Saccharomyces cerevisiae S288C: one gene and its partners. The protein of the gene in region 1 purifies or fractionates together with the protein of each later gene. This does not show direct contact. Each region holds a gene or a part of one and is shown in the gene's direction. Other genes may lie near its edges. The genes, in order: PGI1, PRP42, PRO3 and TDH2.

What was found.
Region 2: the proteins of PGI1 (region 1) and PRP42 purify together in Saccharomyces cerevisiae (affinity purification with mass spectrometry, with the first as the bait; one large-scale study listed by BioGRID). This does not show direct contact.
Region 3: the proteins of PGI1 (region 1) and PRO3 purify together in Saccharomyces cerevisiae (affinity purification with mass spectrometry, with the first as the bait; one large-scale study listed by BioGRID). This does not show direct contact.
Region 4: the proteins of PGI1 (region 1) and TDH2 purify together in Saccharomyces cerevisiae (affinity purification with mass spectrometry, with the first as the bait; one large-scale study listed by BioGRID). This does not show direct contact.

What each region holds. Positions count from the first base shown.
Region 1 is NC_001134.8:611,207-615,702, reverse strand, and holds PGI1 (glucose-6-phosphate isomerase), read left to right. Parts: upstream 1-1,802; coding exon 1,803-3,467; downstream 3,468-4,496. Other genes in the region: YBR197C (uncharacterized protein), read left to right, coding at 1-500; YBR196C-B (uncharacterized protein), read left to right, coding at 1,073-1,177; YBR196C-A (uncharacterized protein), read left to right, coding at 1,530-1,679; MSI1 (Msi1p), read left to right, coding at 3,821-4,496. UniProt on the Saccharomyces cerevisiae protein: In the cytoplasm, catalyzes the conversion of glucose-6-phosphate to fructose-6-phosphate, the second step in glycolysis, and the reverse reaction during gluconeogenesis.
Region 2 is NC_001136.10:931,694-936,369, forward strand, and holds PRP42 (mRNA splicing protein PRP42), read left to right. Parts: upstream 1-1,810; coding exon 1,811-3,445; downstream 3,446-4,676. Other genes in the region: homoaconitate hydratase LYS4, read left to right, coding at 1-1,517; FMN1 (riboflavin kinase), read right to left, coding at 3,543-4,199. UniProt on the Saccharomyces cerevisiae protein: Essential component of the U1 snRNP particle, which recognizes and binds the 5'-splice site of pre-mRNA. Together with other non-snRNP factors, U1 snRNP forms the spliceosomal commitment complex, that targets pre-mRNA to the splicing pathway.
Region 3 is NC_001137.3:199,543-203,167, forward strand, and holds PRO3 (pyrroline-5-carboxylate reductase), read left to right. Parts: upstream 1-1,533; coding exon 1,534-2,394; downstream 2,395-3,625. Other genes in the region: SRB4 (Srb4p), read left to right, coding at 1-1,333; carnitine O-acetyltransferase YAT2, read left to right, coding at 2,650-3,625.
Region 4 is NC_001142.9:452,452-456,220, reverse strand, and holds TDH2 (glyceraldehyde-3-phosphate dehydrogenase (phosphorylating) TDH2), read left to right. Parts: upstream 1-1,539; coding exon 1,540-2,538; downstream 2,539-3,769. Other genes in the region: MHO1 (Mho1p), read right to left, coding at 2,775-3,769. UniProt on the Saccharomyces cerevisiae protein: Glyceraldehyde-3-phosphate dehydrogenase (GAPDH) involved in glycolysis and gluconeogenesis. Catalyzes the reaction of glyceraldehyde-3-phosphate to 1,3 bis-phosphoglycerate.

The sequences.
Region 1 (4,496 bases):
CTGCCTCTATAATGGGCAGTTCCAACGCACTTCCGACCAAAAACCTAACCACGCCTCCAGCACTAAACCCCTTAACGACCAGCATTAGTAGGGGTAATACTGCATACGAAAGAAGCGTAAATGGTAGCCGTATAACAATGCACTCAAACCTGGCACCTACGGAGACGCAAGACGTATCATGGTCTGAAATCGATACACTGGATGATGTGAAGAAGATGGCGAAAGAACCTATCGTCAACGACGGGTTCCCACGAGATTTTGAGAGCAATCTCACGCAAATGCGCAAGTCGCACGCTCAACTACTGCGATTAATGAGGGAAAGAAATCAGCGACTAAAGTATGCCAAGCTGAGGAGCCCTCCTCATAAGGATCAGCATAATTCTGCCACGAATAAAGATCAAGAACCAGACGAGGTATTGCATGACCCGGAAATCGCACTTGACGGTGAGAAGTACGTGAGCCAAGTTGTCGATACTATTAAAGATGTTCACCGATGCTGATGACATGTATGGGTTGAAAATATTTAGAGGATGCTAAAAGTCCCGTCTAAAATAGAGGAAGTCATGGATTACATTATCACCTTTATTGTCCTGTTCCGTCTGGCTAATTTGGGACGAGGAACGTTTGTCTCCATTCGCAACCTTTTGAAACCATATGAACGGCGGCTAATCTGACAGATGTCTTATATTTCTAGGATTGTAGAAAGCCTCCTCATCAAACCACCTTGTTTGAAAAAGGCACTAGTGCGGTTGCTTTACTTGATCTAGTATTCTCCTACCTTGGAGCGGTCCCATATCAACTAAATTCAGTTTTCTGACTGAGTTAAAAACTAATGTAGCGACACCACTTCCATTGGTGCCTCCGTTATTTTTTTTTTGTATGTTAATGCTAAATAATACACCGCTATGTATTTCAGGGCACTACTTCTACACATCAACGGTACTAAACATTTCGCTCAAGATCGGTCCGCTTTCACGTATTTGGATGCTATGCAATGTTGACTATTCTTAGTGGATAACATGCGGCATTTCCTGGCGGCTATTTGCATCGCTATGTAAGTGGCAATGTTCGGATGTGGGTAGTACTTTCAAAAGAAAAAATATTACTGAAGAAGGCATACTACGCCAAGACTATTTTATTCTCAGCACTTGTCCTACGTGGGGTTAGAGGCGAGTAAGACTTTGGCCCCGCTGCGGAAGCAAAGAGAATTTTGCCATCGGACATGCTACCTTACGCTTATATCTCTCATTGGAATATCGTTTTCTGATTAAAACACGGAAGTAAGAACTTAATTCGTTTTTCGTTGAACTATGTTGTGCCAGCGTAACATTAAAAAAGAGTGTACAAGGCCACGTTCTGTCACCGTCAGAAAAATATGTCAATGAGGCAAGAACCGGGATGGTAACAAAAATCACGATCTGGGTGGGTGTGGGTGTATTGGATTATAGGAAGCCACGCGCTCAACCTGGAATTACAGGAAGCTGGTAATTTTTTGGGTTTGCAATCATCACCATCTGCACGTTGTTATAATGTCCCGTGTCTATATATATCCATTGACGGTATTCTATTTTTTTGCTATTGAAATGAGCGTTTTTTGTTACTACAATTGGTTTTACAGACGGAATTTTCCCTATTTGTTTCGTCCCATTTTTCCTTTTCTCATTGTTCTCATATCTTAAAAAGGTCCTTTCTTCATAATCAATGCTTTCTTTTACTTAATATTTTACTTGCATTCAGTGAATTTTAATACATATTCCTCTAGTCTTGCAAAATCGATTTAGAATCAAGATACCAGCCTAAAAATGTCCAATAACTCATTCACTAACTTCAAACTGGCCACTGAATTGCCAGCCTGGTCTAAGTTGCAAAAAATTTATGAATCTCAAGGTAAGACTTTGTCTGTCAAGCAAGAATTCCAAAAAGATGCCAAGCGTTTTGAAAAATTGAACAAGACTTTCACCAACTATGATGGTTCCAAAATCTTGTTCGACTACTCAAAGAACTTGGTCAACGATGAAATCATTGCTGCATTGATTGAACTGGCCAAGGAGGCTAACGTCACCGGTTTGAGAGATGCTATGTTCAAAGGTGAACACATCAACTCCACTGAAGATCGTGCTGTCTACCACGTCGCATTGAGAAACAGAGCTAACAAGCCAATGTACGTTGATGGTGTCAACGTTGCTCCAGAAGTCGACTCTGTCTTGAAGCACATGAAGGAGTTCTCTGAACAAGTTCGTTCTGGTGAATGGAAGGGTTATACCGGTAAGAAGATCACCGATGTTGTTAACATCGGTATTGGTGGTTCCGATTTGGGTCCAGTCATGGTCACTGAGGCTTTGAAGCACTACGCTGGTGTCTTGGATGTCCACTTCGTTTCCAACATTGACGGTACTCACATTGCTGAAACCTTGAAGGTTGTTGACCCAGAAACTACTTTGTTTTTGATTGCTTCCAAGACTTTCACTACCGCTGAAACTATCACTAACGCTAACACTGCCAAGAACTGGTTCTTGTCGAAGACAGGTAATGATCCATCTCACATTGCTAAGCATTTCGCTGCTTTGTCCACTAACGAAACCGAAGTTGCCAAGTTCGGTATTGACACCAAAAACATGTTTGGTTTCGAAAGTTGGGTCGGTGGTCGTTACTCTGTCTGGTCGGCTATTGGTTTGTCTGTTGCCTTGTACATTGGCTATGACAACTTTGAGGCTTTCTTGAAGGGTGCTGAAGCCGTCGACAACCACTTCACCCAAACCCCATTGGAAGACAACATTCCATTGTTGGGTGGTTTGTTGTCTGTCTGGTACAACAACTTCTTTGGTGCTCAAACCCATTTGGTTGCTCCATTCGACCAATACTTGCACAGATTCCCAGCCTACTTGCAACAATTGTCAATGGAATCTAACGGTAAGTCTGTTACCAGAGGTAACGTGTTTACTGACTACTCTACTGGTTCTATCTTGTTTGGTGAACCAGCTACCAACGCTCAACACTCTTTCTTCCAATTGGTTCACCAAGGTACCAAGTTGATTCCATCTGATTTCATCTTAGCTGCTCAATCTCATAACCCAATTGAGAACAAATTACATCAAAAGATGTTGGCTTCAAACTTCTTTGCTCAAGCTGAAGCTTTAATGGTTGGTAAGGATGAAGAACAAGTTAAGGCTGAAGGTGCCACTGGTGGTTTGGTCCCACACAAGGTCTTCTCAGGTAACAGACCAACTACCTCTATCTTGGCTCAAAAGATTACTCCAGCTACTTTGGGTGCTTTGATTGCCTACTACGAACATGTTACTTTCACTGAAGGTGCCATTTGGAATATCAACTCTTTCGACCAATGGGGTGTTGAATTGGGTAAAGTCTTGGCTAAAGTCATCGGCAAGGAATTGGACAACTCCTCCACCATTTCTACCCACGATGCTTCTACCAACGGTTTAATCAATCAATTCAAGGAATGGATGTGAACAAATCGCTCTTAAATATATACCTAAAGAACATTAAAGCTATATTATAAGCAAAGATACGTAAATTTTGCTTATATTATTATACACATATCATATTTCTATATTTTTAAGATTTGGTTATATAATGTACGTAATGCAAAGGAAATAAATTTTATACATTATTGAACAGCGTCCAAGTAACTACATTATGTGCACTAATAGTTTAGCGTCGTGAAGACTTTATTGTGTCGCGAAAAGTAAAAATTTTAAAAATTAGAGCACCTTGAACTTGCGAAAAAGGTTCTCATCAACTGTTTAAAAGGAGGATATCAGGTCCTATTTCTGACAAACAATATACAAATTTAGTTTCAAAGATGAATCAGTGCGCGAAGGACATAACTCATGAAGCCTCCAGTATACCCATCGATTTGCAAGAAAGATACTCGCACTGGAAGAAAAACACTAAACTACTTTATGATTACCTAAACACGAATTCAACAAAGTGGCCGTCCTTAACGTGCCAGTTCTTTCCTGATTTAGATACCACTTCGGATGAGCATCGCATCTTGTTATCCTCATTTACATCTTCCCAAAAACCTGAAGATGAGACCATATATATTAGCAAAATATCCACGTTGGGTCATATAAAATGGTCATCTTTAAATAATTTCGACATGGACGAAATGGAATTCAAACCGGAGAACTCGACAAGGTTTCCCTCCAAACACTTAGTAAATGACATCAGTATTTTCTTCCCAAACGGGGAATGCAATAGGGCAAGATATTTGCCTCAAAATCCAGATATTATAGCCGGCGCCTCTTCAGATGGTGCAATCTACATATTCGATAGAACAAAACACGGCTCTACTAGAATAAGACAGTCCAAAATTTCACATCCCTTTGAGACAAAGCTGTTTGGTTCACATGGTGTTATTCAAGACGTGGAGGCAATGGATACTTCTTCGGCAGATATAAATGAGGCGACTTCTTTAGCCTGGAACTTGCAGCAGGAGGCCCTTTTACTTTCTTCTCACTCCAACGGCCAAGTTC
Region 2 (4,676 bases), on another chromosome or scaffold:
CTCAGGGTGTTTCCGGAAAAGATATCATTGTCGCATTATGTGGGCTTTTCAACAATGATCAAGTTCTAAATCACGCCATTGAATTCACGGGTGACTCTTTGAATGCATTGCCTATCGATCACAGACTCACTATTGCTAACATGACCACCGAGTGGGGGGCTCTTTCTGGTTTGTTCCCCGTGGACAAAACTTTGATCGACTGGTATAAAAACCGTTTGCAAAAGCTGGGCACCAATAATCATCCAAGGATTAATCCAAAGACTATCCGCGCACTAGAAGAAAAGGCGAAGATTCCGAAAGCAGACAAGGATGCACATTATGCCAAGAAACTGATCATCGATCTAGCCACGCTAACTCACTACGTCTCAGGTCCAAATAGTGTTAAGGTCTCCAACACCGTGCAAGATCTATCTCAACAAGACATCAAGATAAATAAAGCTTATCTAGTGTCATGTACAAACTCCCGTCTATCTGATTTGCAATCTGCAGCGGATGTGGTTTGTCCTACTGGAGACTTAAACAAAGTCAACAAGGTGGCTCCAGGTGTGGAGTTCTATGTCGCTGCTGCCTCTTCAGAAATTGAGGCTGATGCCCGTAAATCAGGCGCTTGGGAAAAGCTGCTAAAGGCTGGCTGTATCCCACTGCCTTCTGGTTGTGGTCCATGCATCGGTCTAGGTGCGGGATTACTGGAACCAGGTGAAGTTGGTATCAGTGCCACAAACAGAAACTTCAAAGGTAGAATGGGTTCCAAGGATGCATTGGCTTACTTAGCTTCCCCTGCTGTAGTCGCCGCTTCTGCCGTGCTGGGTAAGATTAGTTCTCCTGCTGAGGTATTGTCCACAAGCGAAATTCCATTCAGCGGCGTTAAGACTGAGATAATTGAGAATCCCGTGGTTGAAGAGGAAGTTAACGCTCAAACAGAGGCTCCAAAACAATCCGTTGAGATATTAGAAGGTTTCCCAAGAGAGTTTTCTGGTGAATTAGTTTTATGTGATGCCGATAACATCAATACCGATGGTATATATCCTGGTAAGTACACTTATCAGGATGATGTGCCTAAAGAAAAGATGGCGCAAGTTTGTATGGAAAATTATGATGCCGAGTTCAGAACCAAGGTTCATCCAGGTGATATAGTGGTCAGTGGGTTCAATTTCGGTACCGGTTCCTCCAGGGAACAAGCGGCCACCGCCTTATTGGCTAAAGGTATCAACTTAGTTGTTTCAGGATCTTTTGGTAATATTTTTTCAAGAAACTCCATTAACAATGCTCTTCTGACCTTGGAAATCCCAGCATTAATCAAAAAATTACGTGAGAAATATCAAGGTGCTCCAAAAGAACTTACAAGAAGAACTGGTTGGTTTTTGAAATGGGATGTAGCTGATGCTAAAGTGGTCGTTACCGAAGGTTCTTTGGACGGCCCTGTGATCTTGGAGCAAAAAGTGGGTGAGCTAGGTAAGAACCTACAAGAAATTATTGTAAAAGGAGGCTTGGAAGGTTGGGTCAAATCCCAACTATAATGTGCATAAATATCTAGAAAAATCGCACCCTTTTCTTTATTTATTAAGTTTATTTATTTATTTACGGTTATTCACGTATATTTTGTTAATCTATTGATACACAAGTTCTTATTTGTAATTTTTCTACTTCTTTTCATTAAATTTCAAAGATGCTCTTGTGACGTCCAAAACCAGTGTCTGACCTAAAGCCCGTGGGAAAAACAACGTAAATTTCTACATAAAAAAGTCAAGTAGGCGCTCGAAAGAGTTTCAGAAAATACCCAGCTGACCATTAACTGAAGTAGCAAACATCTATGGATAAATATACTGCTTTGATTCACGATGAGAATTTTTCAACTCTTACATTGAATGTCTCGAGATACCCTAAAAGTTTGGCATATTGGGAGAAGTTACTGAACTATATAGTAAAGGCTTCGGCACCAATATGCAAGTCCACTGAGCCTCAATTATTAAAGTTAATACGATGTACTTATTCTTCTATGCTGAATGAGTTTCCCTATCTAGAAAACTACTATATCGACTTCGCGCTACTGGAATACAAACTAGGGAATGTTTCTATGTCTCATAAGATATTTCAGCGCGGATTGCAAGCCTTTAACCAAAGATCTTTACTATTATGGACTTCATATTTAAAGTTTTGTAATAACGTTATCTCACACCAGAAGCAGTTGTTTAAAAAATATGAAACAGCTGAAGAATATGTTGGTTTGCATTTTTTCAGTGGGGAATTCTGGGATTTATACCTGGAACAAATTAGCTCAAGATGTACGTCTTCTAAGAAATATTGGAACGTTTTGAGGAAGATACTCGAAATTCCTTTACACTCTTTTTCGAAATTTTATGCATTATGGTTACAGCGCATAGACGATATAATGGACCTAAAGCAATTATCACAACTAACAAGTAAAGATGAATTATTGAAGAAACTCAAGATAGACATCAATTACAGTGGAAGAAAGGGACCGTACCTGCAGGATGCAAAGAAAAAGTTGAAGAAAATAACGAAGGAAATGTACATGGTTGTACAATATCAAGTACTTGAAATCTATTCCATTTTTGAATCAAAAATTTATATCAACTATTATACATCGCCAGAAACCTTGGTTTCTTCAGATGAAATAGAAACATGGATAAAATACTTGGATTATACCATCACCTTACAAACAGATTCTTTAACACATTTAAATTTTCAAAGAGCTTTACTTCCTCTGGCCCATTATGATCTTGTATGGATAAAATACAGTAAATGGTTGATAAATTCAAAAAATGACCTTTTGGGGGCAAAAAACGTTCTATTAATGGGTCTTAAATTTTCTTTGAAGAAGACCGAAATAATAAAACTACTGTATTCAGTTATTTGCAAGTTAAATGAGTACGTACTTTTGCGAAATCTATTGGAAAAAATTGAGTCCTCATATTCCGACAATGTTGAAAACGTTGATGATTTTGAGATATTTTGGGACTATCTTCAGTTCAAAACGTTCTGCCAGAATTCTCTGTATTCCAGTCGATATTCTGATTCACAATCAAACGGGCTTTTGAATAAGGAGCTGTTTGATAAAGTATGGAAACGTTTGAGTTGTAAAGAAAAAAAAAGTGGTCAAGAAATTTTATTGAATAACTTAGTACAGTTTTATTCGAAGGATACCGTAGAATTTGTAGAAAAGAACATATTTCAAAAGATAATAGAATTTGGTTGGGAGTACTACCTACAGAACGGTATGTTCTGGAACTGTTATTGCCGTTTAATTTATTTCGACACTTCTAGGTCATATTTGGACAAGAGGCAATATATTGTCAGAAAAATATGGCCCCAAATAGACAAAAAATTTGCACAGAGCGTCTTGCCGTCTTTAACAGAATTCTGTGAGTCATACTTCCCAGAGGAGATGGATACATTAGAGGAAATGTTTACTGAAGAACCTTAGCCAAAAGGCATTGTCATTTATTAAAAGGTATAAATATGTAAATGTATACTTAATGACCGTTAAGAAAAACTACTAGCCTCATCACTCCCGCAGATCTCTATAATTGTTGTTTGAATACTTGATACGGTGGAGTGGCAAGGACAGTCTGCGCAGTCCTAATATCGATATTGATGTCTTCGATCAGAGCTTCCTTAGTAGTGTAGTTCAATTCGGGTCTGATATGACCTAAAATATTGAACTTGACCCTGGCCCCATAAAAATCATTTTTAAAATCATGTATAATATGTAATTCCATGGTTTTGAAATCATTTCCGTAGAATGGATTTTTCCCAACTGAAAGTACCATAGGAAGTACGGACAAATCATCGTTCGCTTCACTTAAATATTGACCGTAATTATAAACCACAGTTCTTCCATCCCGCCTTGTTTCCACCGATAGTTCTTGACCATCAACAGTTTTAATGTGAGCAAACCCAAAGTAAACCCCTAAATCCAAATCGTTGATACCTTTAGGTAACTGATTTATAGGTACATTGGCAGTGGGAATACCCAATTCGGCGGATCCGCGGCCAAATCCACATACAATGTCACAATAGTCAGTAACAAGCGGGAATGGTGGACCTGGTTGCGCAGGTATTGGCAAATCGACTTCTCGTTTAAAAGTATCAATTATATCTGTATTCGTATTTCGGTTCATTAAGAAAGTACCTGCTAACACTAGCAATAACGAAACATAAATAGTCCACGTAAACATCAACACTTCAACAACACGTGTCTGTGACCGCTTCACGGGTCCAAATTACCACTTTCTAGAACATTGTCTTGTACGTCCAATAATAGTGTTACCAATGCTGACAGAGTATTAAAGCAACGATTTGAATTGACGCATTACCCTCCTGCATAAAGGACTACAAATACATCCTCTCTTATAACGCAATTGCAACATCTGAAGTGCAGTGTGATCAAGATATTCAATTCTCTATTAGAGTAACTTAATCATGTTTCACATGATCAGTATTCATTGTAAAACCTCTTGAGTGTGATTCGTTGCCAACTAACATAAGCGTGCGGATTCTTTAGAAAGTGGGTGTGCCGACCCTGGGAAAGATTGCATAATGTGAATCCTTAATGACTTACCCATACTCTTCATTAATAACCTATTTAGAAAAAGAAGAAAGGCTGTTTCGGAGCTCCTTTTGTGCTGTTTGCAAACTGTCTATTTTCGCATCAA
Region 3 (3,625 bases), on another chromosome or scaffold:
TCTTAGGAAAGTTGTTAAACCTTCTAGTTTAAACAGTGATAAAATTCCATATGTTGCACCTACAAAAAAAGAATATATCGAGTTGGATATATTGAATAAGGGATGGAAGTTACAAAGTTTAAACGAATCTAAAGATCTCCTACGCGCAAGTTTTAATAAACTGAGTTCCATATTACAGAACGAACATGACTATTGGAATAAGATAATGCAGAGTATTAGCAACAAGGATGTTATTTTTAAGATTAGGGACAGGACTAGTGGTCAAAAGCTGTTGGCAATTAAGTATGGTTACGAAGACTCTGGATCTACCTATAAGCATGACAGAGGTATTGCTAATATAAGGAATAATATAGAATCACAAAATTTGGATTTGATACCCCACAGTAGTTCAGTGTTCAAAGGCACTGATTTCGTACATTCAGTAAAGAAATTCTTAAGGGTTCGTATCTTCACAAAAATCGAATCAGAAGATGATTACATATTGAGTGGCGAAAGTGTGATGGATAGGGATAGTGAAAGTGAAGAAGCTGAAACGAAAGATATCAGAAAGCAAATCCAACTTTTGAAAAAGATCATTTTTGAAAAAGAACTGATGTACCAAATAAAGAAAGAATGCGCTTTGTTGATTTCCTATGGTGTCAGTATTGAAAACGAAAACAAGGTAATAATTGAACTACCTAACGAAAAATTTGAAATCGAGTTGTTGTCCCTTGACGATGACTCCATTGTCAATCATGAACAAGACTTACCAAAAATCAACGACAAGAGAGCAAATTTAATGCTTGTTATGTTGAGACTATTATTAGTCGTTATATTCAAGAAAACATTACGATCGAGAATAAGCTCACCCCACGGACTGATCAATTTGAATGTTGACGATGATATCTTAATAATACGTCCCATTCTTGGTAAAGTTCGGTTTGCTAATTACAAACTGTTACTAAAAAAAATCATAAAGGATTACGTGCTCGATATAGTTCCTGGCTCAAGTATAACAGAAACGGAAGTTGAGAGAGAACAACCTCAAGAAAATAAAAACATTGATGATGAAAATATAACTAAATTAAATAAAGAGATCCGTGCCTTCGATAAACTATTGAATATACCTAGACGTGAACTCAAAATAAATCTACCATTAACTGAGCACAAAAGCCCTAATCTAAGTTTAATGCTCGAAAGTCCTAACTATTGTAACGCACTCATTCACATCAAGTTTTCAGCTGGTACGGAAGCCAACGCAGTGTCCTTTGACACAACATTTTCTGATTTTAAAGAAGTAGAGGACTTCCTACATTTTATTGTCGCTGAGTACATCCAGCAAAAGAAGGTGTAATATCCTGAGTCACTCCTTAAACCTACATACATTGCCATAGAATGCCATTTATTACTATATAAAGTCGCATACGTACAAAAGGACAAGATCTTATCTTCGAAAACAAGAATATGAAGGATTTAATAACATTGCCAGGTTAAGAACGGTGTAACAACAATAGAAGTAACACAACACCAATAGCAAACAAACCAACTACAGATATGACTTACACATTGGCAATTTTAGGCTGCGGTGTTATGGGCCAAGCACTTCTTTCCGCCATTTATAATGCTCCAAAGGCGGCTGATGAAACTGCTGCTGCATTTTACCCTTCCAAAATTATCACATGTAACCATGATGAACCTAGTGCACAACAAGTTACCGATCTAGTTGAGACATTCGACGAATCTCCTAACGGTATTAAAGTCGAAAGCACTTACGGTCACAACGTGAGCGCTGTCGAAGAAGCTTCTGTAGTTCTTCTTGGTACCAAGCCATTTTTGGCCGAAGAAGTGTTGAATGGTGTGAAGAGCGTCATTGGGGGAAAGCTACTTATTTCCCTGGCTGCTGGCTGGACAATTGACCAATTGAGTCAATACACTAGCACTGTTTGCCGTGTTATGACGAACACACCTGCCAAGTACGGATATGGTTGTGCGGTGGTGTCCTACTCAGCTGATGTTTCCAAAGAGCAAAAGCCACTGGTCAACGAATTGATTAGCCAAGTTGGTAAATACGTTGAGCTTCCAGAAAAGAACATGGATGCTGCTACGGCTTTAGTCGGTTCAGGCCCCGCTTTTGTTCTCTTGATGTTAGAATCCTTGATGGAGAGTGGGTTGAAATTGGGAATCCCATTACAAGAGAGTAAGGAGTGTGCCATGAAAGTTCTAGAAGGAACAGTGAAGATGGTTGAGAAAAGCGGTGCTCATCCATCCGTTTTAAAGCATCAAGTTTGCACACCAGGTGGTACAACTATTGCCGGGTTGTGCGTAATGGAAGAAAAGGGCGTCAAGAGCGGTATTATCAATGGTGTTGAAGAGGCAGCCCGTGTTGCGTCACAATTAGGCCAAAAGAAGAAATAGATTGCTTTGCGTGAAATGTATGTATGTTCGCTTTGTAGCCGTATATTATTTTTTTATTACTGACCTTGCATTTTTTCGTCATTTTCCCGTCGGTCCGATAATGAATCATCACGATGAATGACTACCCCATAATAATGACACTAATTGGAGCGTATAAAAGAAAAAAATTATATAAATGTGTTTGTAATGAGTAAGAGCAATTGATTCATTTGAAATGAAAATCAAAAATCAAAATTAAAATAAAACTAAGCAACCATGTCAAGCGGCAGTACTATTGTTTCGTCTGACAAGTCGGGGCGAACATTTAAGCATGAGGAAGAACTACCCAAGTTACCATTACCTAAACTCTGTGACACTTTGCAGCGTCTGAAGGAGAGTTTAGAGCCATTGTATTATGCTGATGGTTACTATCAACATCCTTTAGATCCAGAACAAATTGAGAAGCTGTCATCCATAATAAGAGATTTTGAAGAGAATCCCGTAAGTGAGAAGCTGCAATCTAAACTACAGAGCTACCATGACACTAGGGATTGCTACCTTGATGAATTACACTTAGACATCAATAACCAGACCTCCACTAGGGAGATTCAGGACGATGTCCTACCCAGGAATCCCTTCTTGGTTCTCGCAGATGACGCTTTGCCAAACATCACTCAAGCTGATAGGTCAGCCGTCCTAGTGCACTCTGCGGCCAGGTTTATTTCTGCTTTGAAACAAGATTTGTTGCCACCAGATATCAATGCCACCAATGGCAAACCACTGTCAATGGCTCCATTTCTGAACTTGTTCGGTACTACTCGTAGTCCTGTTTTTCAGCGCGGTGAGGTTGAAAATTTTGATTTGAACAAACCTTACACAGCATCTGATTTAGAAGACCCTGATTATTCAAGCGATGAGGACGATAACGACGAACCCACCCAAAAAGACTTTGATGACCGTAAAAGAAAACACGAAGAAGACATATTCACTGGCAATGGTATAACTATAAAAAGACATCCGGATAGCAAACACATCTTGATCATCTCCAGGGGCCAATACTATACACTGGAAGTACTTGATTCGACGAATAAAATTATATACACTGCTGCAGAATTAACCACAATTTTCAACCATATAATAAAAGATTCTTCTGGCATTGAAAAATCAACTGCGTTAGGTAGTTTGACCTCTCACTCTTTTAGAAACTGGAAATATGCAAGGAAGAGACTACAGAAAAGGTATCCTAATGAAT
Region 4 (3,769 bases), on another chromosome or scaffold:
TTGTTATTATTATACTTTCTTAGTTCCTTTTCAATTGTTAAGAAACGATATCACAACTGTTACGACAGAGAGAGACCCAAGCTAGAGATCACAAGCTAAAAAAGAACCAAGTTTACATATATATATATATATATATATATATATATATATATATCCATATTCATATTTCTCGAGAAAGAGCCTCTATTTCTCATTGGTAAGTAACTTCATAAGAGACTAAGTTGTAAAACTGTGGCTTTGTTATACGGTGATTTCCTTTGGAGGTTGCTAAGGTTTATGGTGTTGAGTGCAGTGTGCACGACAGGGACCGCTAGAATGCGGTGAGTTACAAAATTACACGTGACTTTTCTGGTCACGTGACCTTTTTTTCTGTCAGCAATCCGTAGGATGCGCGTTGGCGCTACAAGTGTGTCATATCTGTACTATATTTGTACACTTATATGTAGTTGTGACAAAAGTCTCTGTTAGTACTAAATTAAACGATGTTATATCTGTGGACCCCCTCACCTTATACCACTACGTACATATCGTTGGAAAATCTAGATCAGAGGGTGGTAAATGAAGTGTAATAGTATTCATTTTTCTTATAAATCATCCCTTCCGTGATTTATACAAAAGAAGAGGAGAATATGCTGAATACTTGGTATATTACTCTACATTATACTCTTATCTTGACGGGTATTCTGAGCATCTTACTCAGTTTCAAGATCTTTTAATGTCCAAAAACATTTGAGCCGATCTAAATACTTCTGTGTTTTCATTAATTTATAAATTGTACTCTTTTAAGACATGGAAAGTACCAACATCGGTTGAAACAGTTTTTCATTTACTTATGGTTTATTGGTTTTTCCAGTGAATGATTATTTGTCGTTACCCTTTCGTAAAAGTTCAAACACGTTTTTAAGTATTGTTTAGTTGCTCTTTCGACATATATGATTATCCCTGCGCGGCTAAAGTTAAGGATGCAAAAAACATAAGACAACTGAAGTTAATTTACGTCAATTAAGTTTTCCAGGGTAATGATGTTTTGGGCTTCCACTAATTCAATAAGTATGTCATGAAATACGTTGTGAAGAGCATCCAGAAATAATGAAAAGAAACAACGAAACTGGGTCGGCCTGTTGTTTCTTTTCTTTACCACGTGATCTGCGGCATTTACAGGAAGTCGCGCGTTTTGCGCAGTTGTTGCAACGCAGCTACGGCTAACAAAGCCTAGTGGAACTCGACTGATGTGTTAGGGCCTAAAACTGGTGGTGACAGCTGAAGTGAACTATTCAATCCAATCATGTCATGGCTGTCACAAAGACCTTGCGGACCGCACGTACGAACACATACGTATGCTAATATGTGTTTTGATAGTACCCAGTGATCGCAGACCTGCAATTTTTTTGTAGGTTTGGAAGAATATATAAAGGTTGCACTCATTCAAGATAGTTTTTTTCTTGTGTGTCTATTCATTTTATTATTGTTTGTTTAAATGTTAAAAAAACCAAGAACTTAGTTTCAAATTAAATTCATCACACAAACAAACAAAACAAAATGGTTAGAGTTGCTATTAACGGTTTCGGTAGAATCGGTAGATTGGTTATGAGAATTGCTTTGCAAAGAAAGAACGTCGAAGTTGTTGCTTTGAACGATCCTTTCATCTCTAACGACTACTCCGCTTACATGTTCAAGTACGACTCTACTCACGGTAGATACGCTGGTGAAGTTTCCCACGATGACAAGCACATCATCGTTGATGGTCACAAGATCGCCACTTTCCAAGAAAGAGACCCAGCTAACTTGCCATGGGCTTCTCTAAACATTGACATCGCCATTGACTCCACTGGTGTTTTCAAGGAATTGGACACTGCTCAAAAGCACATTGACGCTGGTGCCAAGAAGGTTGTCATCACTGCTCCATCTTCCACCGCCCCAATGTTCGTCATGGGTGTTAACGAAGAAAAATACACTTCTGACTTGAAGATTGTTTCCAACGCTTCTTGTACCACCAACTGTTTGGCTCCATTGGCCAAGGTTATCAACGATGCTTTCGGTATTGAAGAAGGTTTGATGACCACTGTTCACTCCATGACCGCCACCCAAAAGACTGTTGACGGTCCATCCCACAAGGACTGGAGAGGTGGTAGAACCGCTTCCGGTAACATCATCCCATCCTCTACCGGTGCTGCTAAGGCTGTCGGTAAGGTCTTGCCAGAATTGCAAGGTAAGTTGACCGGTATGGCTTTCAGAGTCCCAACCGTCGATGTTTCCGTTGTTGACTTGACTGTCAAGTTGAACAAGGAAACCACCTACGATGAAATCAAGAAGGTTGTCAAGGCTGCCGCTGAAGGTAAGTTGAAGGGTGTCTTGGGTTACACTGAAGACGCTGTTGTCTCCTCTGACTTCTTGGGTGACTCTAACTCTTCCATCTTCGATGCTGCCGCTGGTATCCAATTGTCTCCAAAGTTCGTCAAGTTGGTTTCCTGGTACGACAACGAATACGGTTACTCTACCAGAGTTGTCGACTTGGTTGAACACGTTGCCAAGGCTTAAATTTAACTCCTTAAGTTACTTTAATGATTTAGTTTTTATTATTAATAATTCATGCTCATGACATCTCATATACACGTTTATAAAACTTAAATAGATTGAAAATGTATTAAAGATTCCTCAGGGATTCGATTTTTTTGGAAGTTTTTGTTTTTTTTTCCTTGAGATGCTGTAGTATTTGGGAACAATTATACAATCGAAAGATATATGCTTACATTCGACCGTTTTAGCCGTGATCATTATCCTATAGTAACATAACCTGAAGCATAACTGACACTACTATCATCAATACTTGTCACATGAGAACTCTGTGAATAATTAGGCCACTGAAATTTGATGCCTGAAGGACCGGCATCACGGATTTTCGATAAAGCACTTAGTATCACACTAATTGGCTTTTCGCCGCATATGGTGTTTCCGGTGATTTCCAAGTATTGTTTCCAAGCATCGTACCTTTCACCATTTGGAGTATCACTTAGCGTTTTCATCGCATATCTGTCCATTATTTCAATGGATTGCCAAATGGGAACTTGATGATGTGAAAGTTTACTCCTAGCAGTTAACATTTCCACTTCTGTTTCCTCTTGAATGGCATCATTCAACTCTTCCTTGCTTCCGACGTACCCAGTATATTGGAATCTGCGGCCCCAATGACAGAAATCACTGCTTACAATGAATAAATTGTTCGGATCCTTAATGTACTCCGACAAGATATTACCAATGCAACGATCAACATCAACGCTGTTATGAGAAACCATCATAGGAAATACCTTCACCGTATCTAAAGAAATTTCTCTCCATTTCAAAGTTTCCACCAACATGGGGAGCTGCATCTCTAAGGAATGTTCAGCCATATCAGTGTCATGATCCATTGGCTTAAACAGCTTCTTTCCGTTCTCAGGATACTCCTTCTGTATTAATGTTTTACACAAGTCTGTATCCACTTTCAGATTACCCAAGGGCGTCTCTAGCTCACTGAATGCACTAACTAATATTTGGTTTTTGAAATAGATGTGATGCGACGGCCCCAAGATAAATATTCTCTTAACATTACGGTTCAAATCCAACGATGCGTACGAGTAGGCCATAGTGGGTCCACAATACCTGTAACCGGCATGAGGACATATGATAATTCTGGCGTTGTGAATTGGGCCTTTAAGGGTACTTTTGATCAAGTATGTATGCAGTTGTTGAGATAATTCTTGGGCTCTATTGGAATACCATGAGCCTGCAT